2 linked regions of the Styela clava genome follow. The protein of the gene in region 1 binds, or shares a complex with, the protein of each later gene. Links are inferred from orthologs where the notes say so. Each region holds a gene or a part of one and is shown on either strand. Other genes may lie near its edges.

The links.
Region 2: the proteins of uncharacterized protein LOC120329277 (region 1) and dual specificity mitogen-activated protein kinase kinase 1-like are in contact, whole or in part, in a cryo-EM structure (PDB 8BW9), measured with the Drosophila melanogaster proteins. The link is inferred for Styela clava from reciprocal best matches to the Drosophila melanogaster genes ksr and Dsor1. Residues at the interface, in NP_001287177.1 of Drosophila melanogaster: Gln767, Tyr828, Asp830, Met831, Gly832, Leu833, Gly834, Val835, His837, Arg849, Ala850, Leu851, Gln852, Asp888, Gln889, Pro890, Ala891, Glu892, Ser893, Ile895, Trp896, Gln897, Gly899, Arg900; in NP_511098.1 of Drosophila melanogaster: Gly98, Gly99, Lys123, Asp236, Met238, Ala239, Asn240, Ser241, Phe242, Val243, Gly244, Thr245, Ser247, Met249, Arg253, Leu254, Gln255, Gly256, Ala310, Met311, Ala312, Ile313, Phe314, Leu317, Asp318, Val321.

What each region holds. Positions count from the first base shown.
Region 1 is NC_135261.1:19,342,000-19,353,297, reverse strand, and holds the start of uncharacterized protein LOC120329277, read right to left. Parts: upstream 4,770-11,298; 5' UTR 4,574-4,769; coding exon 4,406-4,573; intron 3,925-4,405; coding exon 3,784-3,924; intron 3,292-3,783; coding exon 3,147-3,291; intron 2,697-3,146; coding exon 2,571-2,696; intron 1-2,570.
Region 2 is NC_135264.1:5,105,837-5,117,638, reverse strand, and holds the start of dual specificity mitogen-activated protein kinase kinase 1-like, read right to left. Parts: upstream 4,776-11,802; 5' UTR 4,645-4,775; coding exon 4,553-4,644; intron 3,935-4,552; coding exon 3,838-3,934; intron 3,289-3,837; coding exon 3,166-3,288; intron 2,679-3,165; coding exon 2,532-2,678; intron 2,426-2,531; coding exon 2,348-2,425; intron 1,701-2,347; coding exon 1,649-1,700; intron 481-1,648; coding exon 356-480; intron 94-355; coding exon 1-93. Other genes in the region: mediator of RNA polymerase II transcription subunit 4-like, read right to left, coding at 5,881-6,693. UniProt on the Drosophila melanogaster protein: Required downstream of Raf in the sevenless (sev), torso (tor), and Drosophila EGF receptor homolog (DER) signal transduction pathways.

The sequences.
Region 1 (11,298 bases):
TAAAAGCATCCCTAATTAGCAATCAAATAAAAATATATTAACTCAAGTATACCCCCTAAAACTAACCCATGAAAAAGGTTTAAGTACAAAGCAGTGCTGTGGAGTGAAATAATTTTTACACTAGACTTCAACTTCAATCTCCTTTAAAATCATCTGGAAAATGACTCCAGCTTCGAGTCTTCGACTACCAACTTCGCATCGAAATTACTTATTTAATTTAATGCTATGAGATTCCGTTAAAAATTTTGAATTTTAAAGTGTATCCACATGTATTCAAATGAAAAAAAAAATTAGTTCTCCAAATCACCAAAGAGTATGATGTTTATTTTATCAAAATCAAACCAAAATTAGATATAATGCTATTAGCTACTTTTGTTGGTACGTATTTTTACTCTAAGGATATAAGATTCGAGATTACGATACTAATATGGTTCAAAAATTGATTATATACATGGCACACAATCATGGTACCTATAGACTATAGTATACTTATAATAGAGGTTTCACAAATACTGTAATAATAAAAAGGTGGGCTTATCAATGAGGAGGCTATTTGGTAATTGATGATGAAGCATTTGTATTTGAGGACTGAGGTTCATCTATGTTTTTATTTATATTTGACGTTAAATTGTTGGAAATTATTAAAATTAGATGGCATTACACTTAATGTGTATTTGGGTTTGTTTTAGAAATCATACGTTTATTATTAATTTTTGTATAAAGATGAATTGTACTAAAAAAGCTACCGGTAATTAAATTAAACAAACAATTTTCCCTGAATCAGGCAAATCAGTAGTTCAAGTTTGATTCTACAAGAGCGATTTACGAAATATATTATACGATATACATAATACAAACTCAGCATATCTACTATTCAACTCAGAACCCCAGCGATTAGTTCACCCAAAGTCAACAGCTTTATTGCAAGTTTGCAACTTTGAATTAGTATTTTACAGTTAACTAGGTTGAATAGCTATTACGATCAACTCAACAGGATTGTAAATTTTGCGAGTTTAATTGAATTTCGAAAGCGCAAAAAAAAATAGTAAACCATGACCACCAATGATCAGCAGACAAAAACAAGATGGCTGTCGGCTCCTTTATTATCTGGTACATAATATAACCGACCAAAATAAAAAAATAGCTATAAAAAGTCTTTATTATATTTATATATTTAATATCTAAAAAAGAAAAAAAGAAATGGTCTATAATTTCAGATCGTTTCAATCATTTTATATCATCTGATGCTTGAGACCTATATATATATACCACACATATATCTGTATTGAGCCTATTAAAAACTTATTACCAGGCAAAACCATAATATTCTAATTACATATCTGAATGCTCAAGGGGAGATAACATCATGTAATTAGTGTTCTGTAAATCCCTAAAATATGGCTGTAATGAAGTATTATAAACTAATGCCTTTTGTTCTATAGCCTATCAAAGTAATGTTAATGTCTTGAGGCAATTATAAGCCTAGTGTTATAATTTCTACAGTATTATGATTGAGGAGATGTCATTGTTGGGGGTTGTAATTGTAAAAGTCAAAGATATAGAATTTATGGTCAAGCTTAATGACTAAATAGTACACTGCCTTCCCTCAAGAGAAAAAATATTTTGACAAACTGGTACAATGAAGTAATACAGTATTGGATTGGGCTAAAGATATCAATTCCTAAATCACTAATAGCAGATATCACAAATTTGCACAGCAACATCCCAACCATATTAACTTCATAGAAATTTTACACTACTATGATAATGTCAAAAATCAACATTATGTGTTTCGAATTACATCTTCTATGATACATCAAAATGTTTTGAAAGAACATTTATTGTTTGGTAGTAAATTTCATCATTTGTAAGCGCGATGATGTCTCACATTTAAATAAAATCTTACAAAATAACAGCAGATGATCCACACTCAACCTAATATCATCAGATTATCTAGCCAGATATAAATAATTTATGAATAAGAGGCAGTATCAGTAGCCCTATTATAACAAAAAATAATAAAACATGGTATATTTTGGGGTTTGAAATGAAACCTGCCTGGTGTCAGAGCATAGATACTATAATAATATACAACACAGCTGTCCGTCACAGGCAGCACAAATTTAGGTCTGTATGTTAAAAATAAATCCTTTAGCGCATTCCAAGGTGATCCTTCTTTTAATATTTGTCTGGGTAGCCATTACCAAATTAAATCCATCAGATTGATAAACATAACTCCTTTCAGAAATGTACTTAAAATGAGTATTCTTCATTAGTGTATATCTCATTTATCTATTTTTAGGACTTGATAGCTAGCAAGACCATAATATTATTCTGCATAATATTGATGAATCGCTATTCATTTCAGAGTCATATTATGTAGAACATCACACTTCAGACAGTTTCGAAATGCTACACAGACCGTTGGAAAATTTTACATTTTGCGGTTAATAGGACAACATATTTTGGATGAACCAGGCAAATATCAGAATGTATGTTTGTGAAAAGACCTCAAAATATATCAACACATTAACAATAGAGAGTTTGGATTTGAAACAAAATAGACCTACCTGCTTTGGGCTGTGAATTATTAGATGCCTCATCTTGTATGGAGTTTTTGAGGCCATTTTGAAAACCTTCGGCGGATTCTTTACACCATGAATCCCAATATACTCCTTCTGTATTATCTTGATTGTCTATGGCACATTCCACAAAAATATAATACTTGTTCAATTAAGGCTTAATAACAATTAATCATTTCACAAAAAGTATATGTGGGTTCAGCAGAAATTAAAACTATAGAGTTTCTCGTTTCATTCATGCTGCGTTTTTCATAAATAATGATACTATCGAACAATAATATTAGGAATTAATAACTTGATATGGAACAAAACTTTTATCCAATATTATAAATACAGGACGGGACAAAAAATGTATAGAGTTTCGGAAGTTTCTTTAAATTACCAAAATGGAATAACTAATATTCACCCTAAACATGATCCAAATTGATGGAAACTTAGTAGCATATATATATATATAAATGCGGGTCGGAAATAGAGTTTCAAAATTTCTTAAAAATACAATATTGAATTGAATTGACTGATAATCACCCTTAATTAACATGATCCATATTGATAGAATCTTACCCTTAAACTCTTTCAATTGACATAAAGCTGTCCACAATTTTCTTTTATCTTCAGAGTTACCTCCGCTCTCAAGCAAAATTGTTGAGACCTCATGTTCACCTTGTTCTAACAATGTTTCCACCGAGTTTATGTTTCTCATTAGTATCTAAAAACAAAATAAGTCGAAGAACGTTGAAAACATATCATAAAATCACGATTTCATACTAAATCATATAATAAATATAAAAAATAATATAAACATAAGTGGAAATCTTAAGTATGAAGAAATGTTATTTTTGCTTGTGGTAATGATTATTCCTTATAACGCCATATGGTGTAATTATCTTCATCAAATATTCAAAAATTACACGAGCATTGATCAGACCAGATTAGCCTGGAGAGCTAAAATTAACAACCAATGAAAAACCAATGGAGTTCATTAGTCAAACAATTCAATATTCTAGAATTTTACAGATAAACATTGAAGAACATTATTAAATATTTCCAAATTTTGCTTCATTCAATTTAATTTTCATTCTTCATTTCACAAAAAACCTATTTGCGTCAACGTCAAGCCTATGTTTTCTTTTTAAATTTAGTCCATTTTATCATCATACTCATATTTTTTTTATCTCTATACTCCTCAAACTGAATATACCTCATTAACATCTTTATTTATGCCAACAACAGTAAGCCATTGTGATAATGATGGGTACGTCTGAAAATCAACTGTCCAGTGTTTTTTTGGAACTTTGCATTTGGTTGTGAGCTGCCTCCAGAAATGTTTGATGAGTTTGCCCTAGATATAACATAATATAGACAATGTGTTAAAAATTAATATCAATTAACATAAAAATTTATACAAATTTCATCCTCAAAACATTGACAGGGAAGGAGGGAATTATTTTCACTTTATGATATTGAAAAATATGAAAATTCTTAAAACTGAATTAAAATCTGGTCTACATATGCCCGGAATGCCATAAACAGGGTAGGTTATGCCTGACCTAAGAGAGAATTTTCCTTGTGCTATAGTGTCTGCTTGAATATAGTCAATTCTATTTTATTAGAATGTATTCAGGAAAGTCTTTTTATTAAATTACACACGGTCTAAAATCTTGTAGTATGTAAAATGTAAAAAAAGACAGTCAAAAGATTTAGCAATGACTGAAAAAATTTGTTATATCATTGTCAATGCATTCAAATAAAGAAATTTTGAAGAAAAAAAAATTTACAAATTCCATTAATAATAAGTTACTAAATTAAAATAAATTGCATACTTCCAATAATCGAATCTCATCTTTTATAAATTCCTGGAGTCGCAAATCACGAAGTGCAACAAGTCGCTCGGACATAATATCTATCATACTTTGAATATCGACAAGAGCTTTGACTGCATTATCCGATTCAACAGCCCAATTTCGGGCCTTTGTTTCTGCCGGCATCATTAGGTCATTGAGGATATATCCCAAGACTGCCTATTCCAAATTTTATTTATCCGTTTCCATCCATAACTCATTTAATTGAAGAGTGAACGTAGTGAATACAAATTGTTATGCAGATGATATTACACAGTCATCAACATTAAGGTTTCAAAAACTCAGATATACAATTAACCAAAGATTACCCTAGAAAACTTGATTAAACAAACAACGAGACATTAGTAAGTACGACAGACTGTAACAGATTGAGCGACATAATCTCTTTCCAAAGAATCCCAATTTGCCCATGAACAGCCACCCCTTCTTTCGGGGACGTCTGGATATTGTTGTCTTTCAATAAGGACATCAGACGTCCTTCTTTGGTAATAAATTCATGTGTTTGTTTATTGAACCAAATGACGGGACATTCTTGGAATTTGAAAACTGTGCCTTACTGTTAGTTGTTTATTTACAAAATACCTATGACTGTATGAAGCCCAGTCAGCCAGTACTCTAAGATTTCATCAGTCAACTTCAAACAGCAATATATAATTTTTCGAAGTGAAATGAAAAATGATAATTAGACAACCAACTCAGACAAAAGAATTATCTTCAGATTTAGATTGTGTGCTTTATTAAAGTATTAGGGTAACTGCACAAGCATATAAACTTTAGCTTGTAAATATAAGTATATTTTGATTTTCCCGCAAAAAAATCATACACAAAACACAAACAATGAACAAATACAACATTCTGAGATTGGGAAAATCATGGAAACTGGCAAAACCTTTATAAAGGTTTAATACATGTAAATATAAATGTATACTTATACCTTCTTTAAGCCTGCTTAAATCAGTACGGTATGGCATAGTTTTCTGATTCCAAGAATGCATGCACATTGAAAGACATCACTGAGTGCACACCCTTCCTGGTCTGGGCCTCCATATCAACACAAAACCACCAAATTGCACTGCACGATAAACTAAAGGAAAGCGCAATCTAGACATACAAACATATCACAGTAGGTACCGGTACGGTACCGGTACGATGCCGGTAATAATGCTGTAATACAGTAATAGGCCTACTGCAGGGTTCGGGGCTTGCAGTCGTTTCAACCCACACAGGGTCGAGTGCGAGATGCACACCAGGAAACCCAACAACAACAACAACTTAGCAAAATACGGTATCCATATCTGAAAATATCCAATTGTGTCCAACAAATACACGAAACACGACGCTTCGTTCACAGACTAGCCTACGGTACTAGCCTACGGCGCGGCGGTGTGGCTCAACGGGCTAAGCGTTAGGAATACGCTCGCCACCGCACCTCTAATTACTCTGCGTGGGTTCGCAGGTTCGAATCCCATGCAGGGATGGTTATGTGCGAGAGGATTGCTGGACTCCTCGCCGTCGTTGGGTGGTTCACGTAACCGCTGGTAGGTTACGGCTTCCTCCACCACCAAGTCCATGCTTCCGAAAACAAACAATACAGTAAAAACTAGTCCCATACCCGACTTGAAATGGTAACCGGACGAGAGGCCGTGGTTCGCCATATGGATAAGCCGTCTTATCGGCTTTCCTCTCCCCCGGGGTAAATATGTAAATCCTATCCTATCCTACCGGTACCGAGTACTGTGAGTGTGACCTGTGTTTACGCGAACTGTAGTAGAACAGAACAGACTGGCCTTGTCAAACCTGAAATATGAAGGGTGAAGGAGGTCTGATCTAACGTAAGGTTGAAATAGTTCCACAATGTGGCTTCAATACTTGAATAAAATAAAAAAATATTTACTAAATCCCAATTTAGGATAAAAATCAGCATATCGATGAGACAAGGAATTGAAAAAAAAACATTAAAAAAAATCATCATCGACAGTAGAGGTCGCTTTTGTCCTTGTTTTATCATTTGTGTGTCGCATATTACTCACTTCTCCGGGTTATATTCACTTTGCTCCCGGGTTCAGTAGTTAAATCACGATTAGCAGTAAGATCTCTATGTCATTCAGGTCCTTTGACATGCTTAAAATTGTCTAATACGCTCAATCATATTTTATGCTTCTCTCCGATTGCTCGTGGATATGCACGAGTAGCCTAGGACATAGATTCAGATGTATTTTCATGTAGTACTGTGTAATGAATCATTCTATTCACTGTGATAAATGAATTGCCATCCTTGTACTTGTTCTGAGCGAACATGCTGAAACTAAATAACCTATTCACATATATTTCAATGTGGTACTGTGTAATGAATCATTTAATCAGTTGATAAATGGATTGCCATATTAATTTTTTTGCTAGAAGGCTATTACTTTTATTTATTTCAAAATTTTGCGTGAATTCTATGAAATTTGATATTTCGTCTAAAATTTTGCTGTATTATTTTTTATCCATGGGAACACGGATTTTAGTCAGTGTCATGACTGGCAGTACGTTTTGATTCTGCAAAATTCTTGCTACTGGAAATTCAGAACTTTTTTGAGGGTACCGGTAGCGTCAAAGGGTACCGGTAAGGACTGATTCGCTCTGGTCTAACGTGTCCATATATTTGTGCGTAGCTCTCTTGTATTTCATGTACGGTAGTATTGTGAAATGTGGATGTATATAATTTGCAATTATAAAATATATATCTATTTTGACAATTTTTATACCAAATCTTACGCGTCACACATTGAACGAAAAAATAAAGATGGAAAATTGTAGTTTATCTAAAGAATGCTTTCAAAATTTATTAAACAGTTTATCTGTAACATTGATTCATATATATTCAGTACTGCTGTAAGTTTAATTTTATATTGTTGTGCTTACGGCTTGACGTGCTGCTAAATTCTCATTCCAATGATTGCTCTGTGCACTTACAATTAAATTTATGTATATTGTCTCCATTTATGTATTTTACGTGGGGTGTAATAAAATCACTGGTGAAATTGTTTTTGTTTTTTAGACGTGGGACGGGAGCAGTAAATGGGTTGAGTGCACTGCAACTAACGGTATATTTGACACTTCGGAAGCTACGTTGAGGCGTCCCTACGTTGAGTTATGGGGTGGCATCGATGAGTTTCGCAAGGTATGTGGAATCACGTGAAAGTGTTAGAGCCCATAGGAGTTTGTCTAAACTTTAGACTCTAAAGTGGGGGTGGGCAAGCTTTTGTCGTTCGCAGGCCAAAATTGAAGTTGCAAGTCGCGTGCCGCACATATTTTTATAAAGTTAAAAACCGAGGGAATGACCAATGAATCACGTTTTTTCACACAGATTTCAGTTAAATTTCAAGCAGCGCGCGAAAACTGATGATTTGAATATTTTCTGCGCCATTAAACCATTTGCAATCAGCATCAACTTTTTCACGTTCTGTTGTCATTTGTCTAAGGATAATTATAATCAATTCATTTATCATTAAACGAGTGATTGTGAATTATATACTTTTTAGGATATAATATAATTTAGTGTCTCAAAACAAATTCTGTTACGTAAGAAATATAATCGTCAATACAGTTGTTTTGTTAATATAATTCAGTGAAGCGTCGCGGGCCGGATTATATTGTTCCGCGGGCCGGACCTGGCCCGTGGGCCATAGATTGCCGAACCCTGCTCTAAAGCATCGGCTAAACTTCCAATACGACTGGGAAGTGTCCACAGACATCCCCAGTTCCCCACTTATTGGAGTATGAGTTATGTATAGCGTTTCGATTAAAGCGTTAGAACTATGGGGGAATAGCTAAGACTTATTTCTTTGTGAAAGTACATATAGTAAACTATTTAGTCTGTGGTGAACTATAAATTTATTTTTACATTGTATAAAACTGTTCCAGAGTTCTTTCGCTGAACCTCTGGAAAAGCTCTACCGAACCCCAGGGCTTCGATTGCACCCAGGTTAAGAATCGATAATATAAGGCTAGAATTAACGTCGCAAAATAGTCAAATAGGATTATTTAGTTGCATTACAAACATGATGTGCCAGTCATGGCTTCGCCCAAAAATATGGAAAACGTTCCGGGAAGGTAGCCGACTGCTGATCTGGATATTATCAGGATTACTGGATTTAGGTACCACAACTATAGGAGATACCTACGGAGTTGGTGTATTATCCACATCTTCACAGATATCATTCTCATATAGCTCTTTAATTGCTTTTTCCACTTTAGCTCTGGTTTTAAATGGTACTCTTCTGTGTTTTTGATGTACTGGATCCACAGATTCATCGATGTTCAGCTTTAACTGGTATCCTTCGAGTTTTCCGACACCATGAAATATACTATCATACTCAGTATTTCCGGTCGGAAACCTTTTTGGTCAAAAGAGCCATAAAAGTACATATTTTTAATTACACTTCCGTGCGAGCCATATAGCATTTCTTCACTTTATCAGGTCATGTAGTCCTGATAGTTGTTTAGTAGACGCTAAACCGAAATTTAACAATTTTTGTTGAATTTTTTCCAATGGGAATCCCATGTGATGGGATGGGACAGGCATAATTGCTATGGGATGGGAATGGGACAAAAAATATGTCCCATGGTCAAGCCTGCTCATCACCCTTCTTTCGTTTAGGCAACTCCGTAGTATTTTAAAAACTAGCTTTGCTAGTCCGATCTAACAACAAATAGTCCGATCTGACAAATATGGTAACCAGTGCGTACAGACGGATGAAAAGCTTTTCTCTATTGCTCTACGACGCTATGGCTTTGTGATGTCACAAAATACGTTTCAGAATCCCCTAGTTTTGTCCCAATGCCTGTCTGGTAATTCTCTTATATAACATAGGCATGCGCTAGACGCGCGTTCTCAAACGTATTGGCAATTTCTGCAATATTTGGCTATAAAAGAGTTTGAAATCTCGTAACAAAAATAAACTTAGACTTGGAATATTAGATTTTTCTGGGAGCCATTTGCCGTCACCAAAAGAGCCATATATGGCTCGCGGGCCATGGGTTTCCGACCACTGCTGTAAATAAATCTGCTTGCGCTATGTGGAGGTCGTTTCTCGCTCATTAGTGTCCCCGTTTCTAATATTTATTCTCGAAGCGTGATGAATTTAGTTATGACCAGTTTTCATTGCCATGGTATATTAACCAAATTCGTCTACGTTTGCGTTATTTCGTTCAATGAAAATGACCGACAAAAGTGGGATAGGATTATATCTTGAAAGACAGTAAAAACGCAACCGCCGAACCAAAAATATGGGCTACTTGAAATTTGTAATCTGTATCCATTTCCAATATGTCATTATGCTTAGTAATTAAAATTTGTCTGAAGCACAGTTATTCGCGAGCGAACATGACTGTGAGTGCAAATGTACATAGGTGCAAAAAATGTAGGTGGGTGCGAGTATGTCTGGGAGTGCAAATATACCTGGGTGCAAATTTACGCCGGTGCACGTATCCGAGGGTGCAAATGCTCACGGTACAAATGTACGGCGGTGCAATTGTCCTTGGGTGCTTTGGGTGTTCGTGGGTAGTGTGCTGGTCGTTTCGAATCACTGATATGTCGAAACGGCTCTTTTTCTACCTTCGAAACAGATTCTATGGCGTCAAAGAAAATGCAAAGTTTAACTCGCAACTCCTCTACGGCCCATGGGCCGTAGCCACGGCCCATCGAATTGGGCCTCGGCCTATCTGGCTATGGGCCGCGGCTCATCAAGTTGTGTAAAGGGACTATTCACTTGGCTAACACAGTCCCCGAACTCGTAATAGAAATATAATGTGAAAAATCTGAACAACATTTTGTCCTAACCCTAACCTGGTACACATACTACAGGAGTATCCTTTTCTGTAGCTTGGTATTTTGCTTTATTTTTATATAAAGGCTTATGTGAGAAAAAAATTTGGTGGCATCCCGCGATTTTAAAATCTTGGTAAGTTAATTGAATTTTTCCTGATGGGGCCGCGGCCCATAGCTTTATTGGCCATGGCCCATGTGGCTCAATTAGATGGGCCGTGGCCCCGGCCCATGGGCCGTACAGGAGTCACCACACCTGCAGTAAATGTCCCGGGCAATGCAGTATGTCAGTCATGAATATTATTTATATTTGATATTAATGAATTTTCTTGTTTAAACGTGGGCACACTATTGGTCACTGCTTTGTCACTCACTTCAGAGTGAGAGAGAGTGTTATGTCATATTTATTATACAGAATTATGCAGCTGCAAATGTCCTGGGTTCAGTTTACGGGTGCATATGTACTCTCACCGATATATTACTTCAGTCCATTGTGTTGTTTGTTTTGGTTACATAAACACCACATAGGTGATATTTTGGTGTAGTTTTCTGTGTTTTTAGGTTCAGAGTAATATGTATCAAACGCGTTATTGATTGGATTGTTTTTATAGTTTGGTTTTGAAGACCTAGAATGATGAGGTAAACTGCATTTATCACCTCGTTGTCTGTATAATTTCCACTTCTGTTGCGTGTGAGTCAACTATTATCACACGCCCGATTAGAGAGCATTCTTGATAGTCTATCCCAGGGTGGTCCAAACACAGACCCGCGGGCCACATATGACCCGCCGCTTCATTATCTGGGGCCCGCGTCGAATTTGCGTGAGGATGAACAAAAAATCACATTTGGTGCTGTTTCGTCATAAAAATAACCAGATAAATCTTTTGACATACTGTTACCTCGTACATCACTAATGTCACTGAAATGAATAGTGTTATGGCTAGCTAAAGCAAATAGCAAAATTGAATAAGGTGTTTGGCTAGTCTAAATTATTGACTGGCTTTCTATTTTTTGGTCGGGAATATATGCTAACAAAATAAAC
Region 2 (11,802 bases), on another chromosome or scaffold:
AGGGTATCTTCCCATCGCCATTTCGATCAATGATAAACCAAGAGACCAGATATCAGACAATACTGAATATGGTGCTCCTTGTAATCGTTCAGGCTGTAACGAGTTAAAAAATATTAAAACATCTTATTGTATAATATATACCGTATGAATAATTCTTCAAGAATAATCACCAATCCATATTAAAATGCCTGCAATCTGATGGACATAAATTTGCTCAGATAACATATGTTTTTGACCATATGTAAAAATGAACAAATTTGGGAAAGACTAAGAAATAATCAAATTGTAAATATAAAGTACTAAATATCTACTATGATAATAGTTATCCTTTAGGATAATAAGATTTTTTACTTACTGACATATAGGACCTCGTACCAACAAAGGTGTTAGCCATAGAATCAATAAGTTGTCCGCTGACACCAAAATCACATAGTTTTATCTCTCCTCTTGAGTTGACTAAAATATTCGATGGTTTTACATCTGAAATGAGATGAAAAAAGTATTTAAAACCGAGCCTACAAAACACTTTTGTTGCTTTTGTTATGCATCATTTCAGGACTGTGGAAAGGAGTTGCCAGACTTGGGGTACTGAGGAAGAGAGATGACAATAGCTTAAAATTTTGCCCACCCAGACTGACGAGCCATGTAAGTGTGACGGAATAAATAAGCTATAAATCTTCACGAATTAGGGTAAATAAAAAGGATGCAGTAGGAGATTTTTCAGAAACCATTGAGAACCGATAGACTTCACATGGCAAGAATGCGTAAGATACGAACAAAAAAGAACGAGAAGAGAGCGTTATGCGGATGTTACCAAAACTTTTTAGGCACTAAATTGAAACTTCAGGGCTGCGCGTGACCGCACACGAGGCGACACAAAAAGGTGTTAAAAGCATGTAATCGAATCGAGTGATAGAAAAAAAAAAAGTGAAGTATCGTTGACGTATCCATAACATGAAAGTATTACAATTACAATCATAGTATAACAAGCCTATTGCACGTTGCACCATACATATTTCAATAACTATGTAGTGCATGTGAGATTGGTTAGAAGCAGAAATTTATGGCTGCATCAGGCAGGTCAGAATGAATCACCCAACAGGTCGGATTTTGCCTGCGGGCCATGGTTTGCCCATGTCAGGGTTAAGCCCTACAAAATTAATTGGTCCGCATCAGTGGGATGGATAATAATTAATTAGTGGTACAATAGGTGCCATTGTGTTTCTTACAATTAGCACAAGTCCGCAACATCAGAGACAAACGATGCCGGGGTCTATGCCTATATTGTTTATATTCATATTCACCCATGTTTTTCTATTTAAACTTCTATCAATAAAAAGAATATTTACTTCATTTTGGAATTTAGGCGGAACATATTATTCACTGGACAAATTGTAATATTCGACTAAAATCAGAAATTTTGATTTAAGAGGGCATACTTGATTAGCCCCAATCCTGCATGTACTCCTCTGTTCCATAGTCAATATGGACTTGTAACTTCATGAAGGGCTATGAAATGTGAAGACGTCTTATAAAATGACTAACCATGTAAATATGTGATATTATATTACTATGAAAAAGAAAGTAATATTTTCAATCAATTACTCAACAGAAACTTAGCAAACAACATACATTAAACAACACAAACCTCTATGGATTATGTTATGTGTTTCTCTTAAATATCTCAATCCGTGAAGTACCTGATAAAATATGATTGGAAACAATCAAAAATTGTTATATTAACAAGAAAAATCAGCGAGAACATTGCAATATCAGTAACTGCTTTTTCTACTTAAATGAAAACAATTGTAGCACTGGTATTGAAAACTTCAATTCTAATTAACACAAGTAATAATTATATTTTAAATTAATATAAAAATTTTGAGTCTCAATATCCAGATTATTTTTGCCATTCAGAAATAAATCCTGGATTCAATATTAGCAAAATATGTCGATGATTCTTCAATCTAAAAGCTCAACAATTACAACTTGAAACAATACAATATTATTTGAAAACCTGAAAATTTAATCCTTATCTTTTAAAAAAAAGATTAGCCTCACAATATCCCGTGTGGTTTATTGAAAATGGTAGCATTGTTTTCTCCTTAGAAAATATTTATTCAAAGCAGGATCATGCGTACTCACTCACAGGAAATTAATCCCTGAGCAAAGGTACCGACTAAAGTGCTACTAAGAGTATGAATCATTATTAAAGTTTTAGAATTGTATTTGAGTAAAAACTGACTGATGAGCTGAGTGAGGAAATACCGAGTGAGTTCCACATAACTGAGTGAGTTTCTCGGAAAAAATTTGGACATAAAATTTATTACAAAAAATATTATCCTACCGCAATGCTGACTTTTCCTAGAATAGGTTCAGGAATTTTTCCAGCTTTTTTCAGAACTTGATCAAGGGAACCGGCATCCTAAAATGAATAAAACAATACCATTAAATGTCGAATCAAAAAAATAACAATATTGACAAATGACAATATCCAAGTTTACGTCCAATTTTAATCAACTCCGTCATACCATATTTTCCATGCATATGCTGATTTCGCTGTCATTATGAAACGCTCCGTAAAATCCAACAATATAAGGGCTTTTGCAGTCGTGAAGAATTTGCAATTCTCTGATAATTTGATTTTGTACTGCTGGTTTCAGTTCTAAATGGATGAGCTGAAATATAAAAGTAGAATGATGATTCATAATAATTCAAATAAATCAGTTGAAACAATACTTTATTTATATTATTTTCCAGCAAATAAAATGGAAATCATAAATATAGAGATAAAAAAATATGGATCCAAACTATATGAATAGATCATTGCATGACATAAATTAACATAGCGTGTAACAAACATTAATTTTCCCATCAAAAATATAATACAGATTTAGTTGGCGCTCCAGAAGTAGCCTATGTGTACCAATATGGAGGTAATTTTGTTCGCCTATTTTACACCAAGTTGTATAAAGGGACGGAAGCTTATGGGCAGAGGTATATTCACTTGGCTAACACAGACAGTCCCCGAACTCGTAATAGAACTAAACTAGGGAAAATCGGAATTAAATTGTGGCCTAACCCTAACCTGGTACACACACTACGGGAGTACCCAAAAATACACGGTGACAAAAAATGGGATAGCAATAGGAATTTTTATCATACTTTTCGTGCCATCTCCAGACCAGATTCTTTATGCTGTACTAAATGAACAACTCCGCCATTTCCAACACCGATTTCAGCCTTCTCTAAAAAATCAACTTTTTGAGCACTGTCCAACATTCCGACCTAAAAAATGTAACAATTATGAATGGAAAATAATTCAATCATTCAAAATGATACATATCTTGGGTAAAAAGTTACGAATTTTCTCCTGCACTTCTGTTGAATTTCTTATTATAATTCTATATCTGACATGGGCAAACTGTGCCAAATCCGACCCATTGGGTAAATCAATTTGGCCCACATGATGAGGCCACAACCAAACTTTAATACATCAGCTGAAAAATAAGTAATTTGTTGAAATTGCAATTAAGTTTAGTTTGGGCACGAGGTTTATTGTTTTCCACTTTTGCTTTCGTAACACTGAAAATATTGTTCATAAAATATAACACTTACATGATGGCCTGCCTGTCCGGGTGGGCAAAATTTTTGGCCCATGGCCCAAAAACCCATTTTACAAATTGTGTCAATAGCTCTTAGCATTATAGAGGTCACCCTAAGCTTTGCCCATCATTCTCTAGGATTTTTGAGTGAGTTCTCATAACCTTACTTTGAGCAAATATTAAAAAAAAAATTAAAACTAGAGTACTAAATGAGAAACTGAAAGTGACAAACCGTCTTTTTCTGAGACAGAAAAGTATCTAATCTCTTTCTTTGTACATCGTCAATTTCAAGTTCTTCGATACTTTTTCCAATTTTATTTACAATGTTCCTGAAAGAAATCAATGATTATGAATCAAATGATTATATTCAAAAGCTAAAGATAGGGTGTTGCCAAAAATATTATATAAAATATAATACAACTCATGCATAAGACCAGAGTTTCTCAAACTTTAAGGGGCTCGTACCTCTATTGTGAATCTTACTTTTGAAAGACCCATATCATATGCCGAATAATTTTTTGTGCCTAGCCAACAAGGAAGAACATTATTTCATTTACAACACTACAACAGAAACGACATTAATGTGATGAATGAGGTGACTCCTCGACCTGTTATTTGGCATCAAATTGTTAGGAGCTAAAATACTGACTCACATATATATTTCATTGCAAAAGGCAATAGCCTAGAATTTTAATTGCCTTTTTCGACAGTAATGGATATCCGTCTACAACACCCAACCAAAAAGATACAATGACTTTTCGATTCAAATCAATCATTGAAGATCGAACAGTCTTTTCCCATATCGTTACAAACCCCTGTGCAGTCATCACAGAACTCCAGGGGTTCGCGGACCCTAATTTGGGAAAACCTGCATTAGACAACTTAATGGTTTCATAATGGATATTTTGTTATTTTCACTGTTAGTGTAAAATTTGAAATTCACTTACTGTGTGATATCTCCCTTTTTCACTGGCTCAGCTGGAGGTGGAGCAGATATCCCAAGCTTCAACGGAGGAGGACGTTTGCTCTTGGAAGCCATTTTTTTTATCAATTGACACTCTACTCTATTATCCCCAGTTAAATTAGACGGTCAATTACAAACAAGTCTTATTACAGAAACCTAAGAAACAAAAAAAATGATACTCTGTGAGAGAGAGTAATTGCTCAAAGGTGTAAAAGTGAAAAAAAAAATTTACGATCCTTCAGAATCAATTTATGAATATTTAGTTGTTTCAAAATCTTAGAACTAATTCAGTCCATGAAGTTTGATTTTTAAACAGACAAACAGATTTGGCAGTAAAATTGTGTCATCATGCTACATTTCGGTCACAATTGGCACAAAAAACAGAAAAAATGCACTGATAGAAGGGGTTAGGAACAACTGCATATATTAATATACCCCAAGCATTCAATTAATTTGAATAATAATCTTTTAAAAAATTAGGGATATTCTATATTCGAACTTTCATGTATTAGGATCAAAATAATAAACTTCAAATATTGGTATTTATGTATAACAACATACTTAATCTAGTTGTTCCCCAGATAGCATTTTTTATGAAATTTTAAATATTTCATCAAATAGAAATTAAACAGATAACAGCTTTTAAAAGTAAAAATTCATTTCTACTGATATGAAAGGAGCTACTGTAACTTATTCTAGAAAAATCTGGATCCTTCCGGTTTGGTATTGCCTACCCAATTTATTAAAACCTGCGCGAGGGGGTGGCCTTTGGTTTGAACCTGAAATTTTATTCTGTGATGCCATCATAGTTAGGCCTAATGCTTTAAACACTAGGCCAACACTCCCACGTATTAAAAGTTATCTATTCTGAAATTCTTCTCCAATTAGTCATAATGATGACTGTAACAAAGAAAACAAATTTACTCAAACATGATTTTTGTCAATTTGAATGATTCGATAAACCATCAAAGCTATTCTATGCAGTAAACAACATCGTTACAACGTTCTCTGCATCTTATTATAAATGTTTTAGACTCTGGTTTTCATATCAATACCAATACGTGAATGAAAATACAAATCTCAAACACCAGTTTGCATAACACCTTTACACTTTGGATTATTATGACAATTTTGCATCAAATGAACACATTTGTTGGTATTTTGAAAACTTTTCCATTTTCCAACCAGCATAATATAATTTGGAACAATTTTCAGCGTTAAAGAGTTCAAGAAATAACAGAAATTAAAAAAGAAAACAGGCAGTGAGTATTCCTTAAATATTAAAAACTAATATTCTGACAATACTATAATTTAATCATTCCCGAAACTAGAATCCGAAGATGAACTTGATGATGAATCAGAGGACATTATTTCAACCTCTTCATCTCCTTTTTGACCATATCCAAATTTTCCGTCCATACCAGATGCTGATTGGTTGCCCCATTGTGGTTGTTGTATATCATTAGATCGCGACATACCAACTAAATTTGGTACAGAAAGTCCTTCCGTTCCTAACTGCGGCGGTGGCTTAATCGTTGAATTTGCATCTGTCATATTGTTAATCTGTCCCAGCCAACCACATCTCATTTCGATGTCCTGTGGATAGGGTCGTCTTGGGTCACCTGGCGCCCAATTTAATGGAGCTGCCGTGGCACATGCAGCGCTTATTTTGTGAGCATATTTAATGATATCTTCAGAAGGAACAGCACCTTTTCTTGCTCTTCTGATCGATTTGAGTTTTTCTTTGGCTTGGTATAGAGCAGTGGATAAAAGATGTTCCGCATCTTTTAGGTGTTTTTGTAAAACCTCAATTTCTTTATTTTTTTGTGCGATTTCAGCTTTGTATAATTTGATATCACGATGAAGTTGTTGTTGGTCGCGTGCCATTGCCATTTTCTCTTCTAAATCTTTGTTTTTTTGAAGCAAAAGATCAGTAAGCTGATTCACGTTCATTTTTTGTGGGATAGCTTCATCATTTTGAGAATTGAAAGTTTGACTGGTTGAAGATTGCCTTGATGACTGTTGGGAAAGAGTTTCAAACAATTGCCGAGTAATAAGATCAATGTCTTCAACAAGAGCCATTAATTGTTGTTTAGTGCTGATGCTTCCTCGTTGTAATTCCATTTCCAATCTTTTTTCGATAATAACTTTTGAAGAATAAATTTGAATATCAATATTATGATATTGAAATACCCTGAATTAAAATTATGCCTGCAATGAAGAAGTTTCTTATTGTTAATAATACTGTAATAATAGTTTACAACAAAGACGGAACTTTATCGCAAATAACCGCAACCCAATATATGATCTTATATTCCTGACAATTTAAGTTTGACAATTTAGGAATAAATTATGTTTATCTTAATTAAAGGAAGGATTACAGATGTAAGTTTTTAAAAAATTTAATTTTGATTGGAATCTGATTCTATTTACATTAGTATAATATATCGTATCACCGTTGACTTAATACAAATTTAAAATAACTGAAGGATAAATTGTGATAAAATAATAATGCATAATGTTGTTGGAAAAAATACATTCAATGAACTCAATTTATTTAGGCGGAGAACTTTTATTTTCTGTTTCATAGCTGCATAGAGCTATCAATCAATCAATTTTATTTTGGCCACTCTGAACGAAACAAAACATCAACAAACGGACAAACAAAATGCAGAGGAGCTACACTTACTTACATTTTCATTCCAAAACAATAGCGAACCTATACCGTAGTCTAGCGCTCATTTCTTCTAAAATTGACCTAAAAAATAATTCAATTTTGTAAACCCAGAGACCCTAGTTATTTAAATGTAGGCTACTTACTGACTTAAATAAAAAAAATACCTGAATACTGTTTGCAACATGATTCTTAAGGAAGCGGACCTATGTTTTAATAAGGAACACCAGTATCCAATGATTTTGTAAGTTTTAGGGTAATGACATTATATTAGTACGTTAAAGAATCGTTCATATAACTTAATGAGGGTCTAGTATAGTTTAGTACCACAAGTGCCGGTACTTCCGGTGGGCGTAGCATAACGATTTTTGCATATGTTACTCCTAACCCTCACCTGATTATGCCATCCAAAAATTACGTCACTACGACGTCACCATCACGTCATAGGGATTGCCAAAGTATAATTACCATCGCCCGAAATGGCATCTGCGCCGCCGATAAGAACTTGTTAAGGCCGGCGATCTCTCTCCTATCGTGATCGTTGCGACGAGAAAACGAGAGAAATAGCTTGCTCGATTTCGGGTTATCGTCTGCGCGTTTTGGACGACCATCCGCATACTTCGGTGGGCCTTATTACGCCACTGTGACGTCGGAATGACGTAATTTTTCGGTGACGTAGTCAGGTGGGGGTTAGGATTGACATATGCAAAAATTGTTGAGCCAGGCCAACTAGAAGTGGATGTGGTACTAAACTATACCAGACCCCTTAATGACATACCGTAGGTATCGGTATTTGTGAACTTCAATACCGGTACCGTACAATATTCGTTACGTCAGTACCGGTACCCGGTACGTTGATGACAAAGACACAGGTCAGCACGTAGAGTAGCCTATAAAATATCGTAACAATACAGCAATACCGCCCATTAGTCTGATTAGTTAACCAGTCGTTTGTTTTCCATGTTTGATGTGGGGTTGAATTGTCCGGATACCGAAACCGGTTAACCCAAATGTATTTTGCTACCTGATATCCGGATAGCATTGTGACGGTTAACAGATTCAGATACTGTATTTATTTCGTCGTGCATGAAACAATGTACAGACAAAATTAAACAAATATAATAACCGGATATTAAAGTAGCATAAATAATCCATATGCTCATTAATGATTTTTTATATTTTTGTTACGTAGCAGCTGCCATTCCCCAAAGCATATATTAACAAATTTTATTCACACTTCTTTGCTTATACCTTTGCCATCCAATCAATCATCATTTATTCGTCAACACAATTTAAACATGGTATGATATATGAAAAAATATCACAAATACAAGTGGAAACTAACTTAAATTGTGTGACAGGAGTCGCGAGGGACCTCAAGAGGTCTTCAGGCAGCGACACCACCAGCGCCATCCGTAAATGCTGGAGTGTACTTCCACTATCACATCACAAAATAAATGTGATTTTTATGTAAAAGTAGAGCGCATTCGCTTCACCTTTGACTGATAAGCATAAATGAATTTATTCTCCATTCATCATTAGCCTAATGAGATGGGTGAGCAAAATAAAACGTCACCAGCTAGCTTATCAATATCCGGCTTCATTTTAGTCAGAAACGGTCTTATGTTTCTTCAACGATGTCAAATGCGGTTACTCTTGTAATCTAGAAGCGCGGTCATGGCACAGGTATGAGCTGTTAAAGGATTTTTTTTTACATGATCCCGCACGTGAGGGTATTTTAATTTGGTTTAATTCTGAACAATTATTATGGAACACTGAACATTTGTTTGAGTTCAAAATCTTTTTGCAATTTGATGTTCCTTTTCAAGAATCCCACGTCCGTGAATAATACTAAACTAGAATTGGAAAAATGTTCGTCCAGGCATATTTCACTGATACACGACGAGCCTATTATTGGAACCAGACAGTGTTATTGGAACCAATCCATCTTTATCAGATTGATTTATTCTCCATGAAAGTAAACTGCTGGAATTCAACAACAGTATCAAAAGGGTGTGAAATCAGTCAGTCAGTAGTTTATTTTTTCACCAAACTTAATATACACTTGGTTCGAACATTGAATAGGAGTAAACGTAGTAATGGCATTCCAAGTTCCGCGAAAATCAAATGCTGGTCATCGAGCAGCGATACCCGTCTTGCTGGTGTATGGCAGATAGATATCCATGGAAAGCCATATCTTACTTCAGTGTGAAGTAAGGCTAGTAAGCGCTCAAATGCATTCATCACTTTCATTGCATAATTATTTAAGTGAGCGAGTGTTTAGCACGCGTTTATTTTATTTACTGCCTTCATGACTATGACTGAAAAATCAACTCGTTTCTGTACTTTATCATTGCTCAATGAAACAAGAGAGCTACGCCCAAATATATGGACACGTCTGTTCGCAGTACAGTACGGTTTACCGTACCGTCAGATCACATTCTACAAATATATTCACACCAAGCGAAGCAGTACAGTAGGGCACAAAATGGCGTCCGATGTCCGCAGAACGTTCGATGACGTCATAGCAAACAAAAACAAATCTTACAGAGCTATCAGAAATATTTGAAATAAATAAAAGTAATAGCCTTCTGGAGAAAAATTTCATCTTTAACCACTAAAAATTTCAAAGCAATTGGTCCAGTGATCAAAGAGAAAAGCGGCTTTTTAATATTTCCACTAGGTGTCCAAAAAGTGTCGAACAACAACAAGAACAAGAACAACATAAAAACAAAACGATTGTTATGTCCACTAAACGTGTCCAATAACTACAGACGGCGCCTTTTCATGCAAAACAGTATCAGAAAATTTCTTGGTGCTCCTGAAGTATGTGCACCAAGATGTCGCTAACCTGAACTAGAGATGTGCCGATGTATCGGTATCGGCAACATCGGCCAATTTCTCAGTATCGGTAGTGTATCGGTATCGGCTAAGTTTAGACCAATATTTCCGATATATTTAGCTTCTCAATATGATTCAGAATGTTTTAAAAAATAGGTTAGAATACTAACCTTGAAATTATTTTTGAGCCATTGTACGCCCCCACACCCGCTGACGTGTTTTAAGCAATTTATCAGTCAAACTGGGTCAATCAATTTGAGTATTTTCGCTGCCGAATTTTTATATTAAAATTTTTAATATTACATGGTAATTATGAAGAATTATATCAATCGAATATTAGTGGATGTTCCGATGTGTATAATTTAAAATACGACGTTATATTGGCACAAAATCCTACGCACGTTACTCAATGTATCAGTTTCATGCGATAAGTAGGCTAAACATTTATTTATTTTACCACCAACAGTAGCCAAATCCTACTAGTTTTCTAATAAAGAGCCGAGATTACTAGCGTCAGTGCTCAATGCATCTGAATCAATTTGCGCATTTGGATCCCAAACATCTACTTCTTATTAATATGTGATATTTCTCTTTTTTGATCCGAAATAATGCGCACTATTAACAATGCTTAAAGACTATTGTTTTAAACCGTCTGCCCCGCACAATTGAGGTAATAATTACATAGTATCGGCAATATCGGTCGTTTTCGAATATCGGCGTATTGGTATCGGCTTTTTTAGCTGGTATCGGATCGGTATCGGCGACAAAAGTGGTATCGGTACATCTCTAACCTGAACCCAAACCTGGCACACATACTATGTTCAGGTTGTGCGCCATCTTGGTGCACATACTCCAGAAGGTCCAATTCCTTTACTGATGGTGGGTTAATTCGTCGCCAATAGTAGGCTTCTTGAATTTGCTTATCTGCATGTAAAGCATCATTTATATTGTCACAAAGTGTTTTTGCCGACTTTGGGAATCGCTGCTGTAGACGAATTCAGTTGAAAAGCTTTGAAGTTGTGCGTGTGGAGATGGGGCAGTCTTGAAGATGGCGGTTTTGGTGATATATAACTATTGTTTTCTGTCGCTATTTTTGCCATTGGGATTCGGGTATATTGCCAGGAAATGACGCAGATGGGGGTCGTGTTTTTGTTCGGGACTGGACACATCGCCAATACTGCACGATCGACGCCACGGAGGCTATGCCTATGTATCATCTGGCCTTGTCGGTGGTGGATGGCCTCGATTCTATCCTACATTTGGAATTTGTTTTTGTCTGGCGCGGCAGGGTGGTACAGTTTGATATTGCTTTTTATCTGGTGCTAGTACACTGTGTTTTTCGCAGACATATATTATGCGATCCACGGTCTCGTTTACTTGACGCCACGATTGATGGGGTGCTTCATAGTCAATGCATTGCAGAAACATTAATATATCCCGCTCTTCTGAAACCCTGGCTTCCACAGTTTGTTTGTTTCCGGCACTGGAGAGTAGATGCCAATTTCTTTCTTTTCTTCCTTCCTCATTATTTGCCATACCCACCTTTTTAAGTATCTAGAATAGATTCTAGTCTAGAACATTGCTATCGACATTCAGTGGACTTTGCCTGCGCTGTTTACTAGCTATTTCTGGTTACTCCTCATCGAAAAATGCGTGTTTTTCTTCATGTTCAAAATTTCATTTATATATGCTCATACAGTGTTTGTGTAAATATTCAT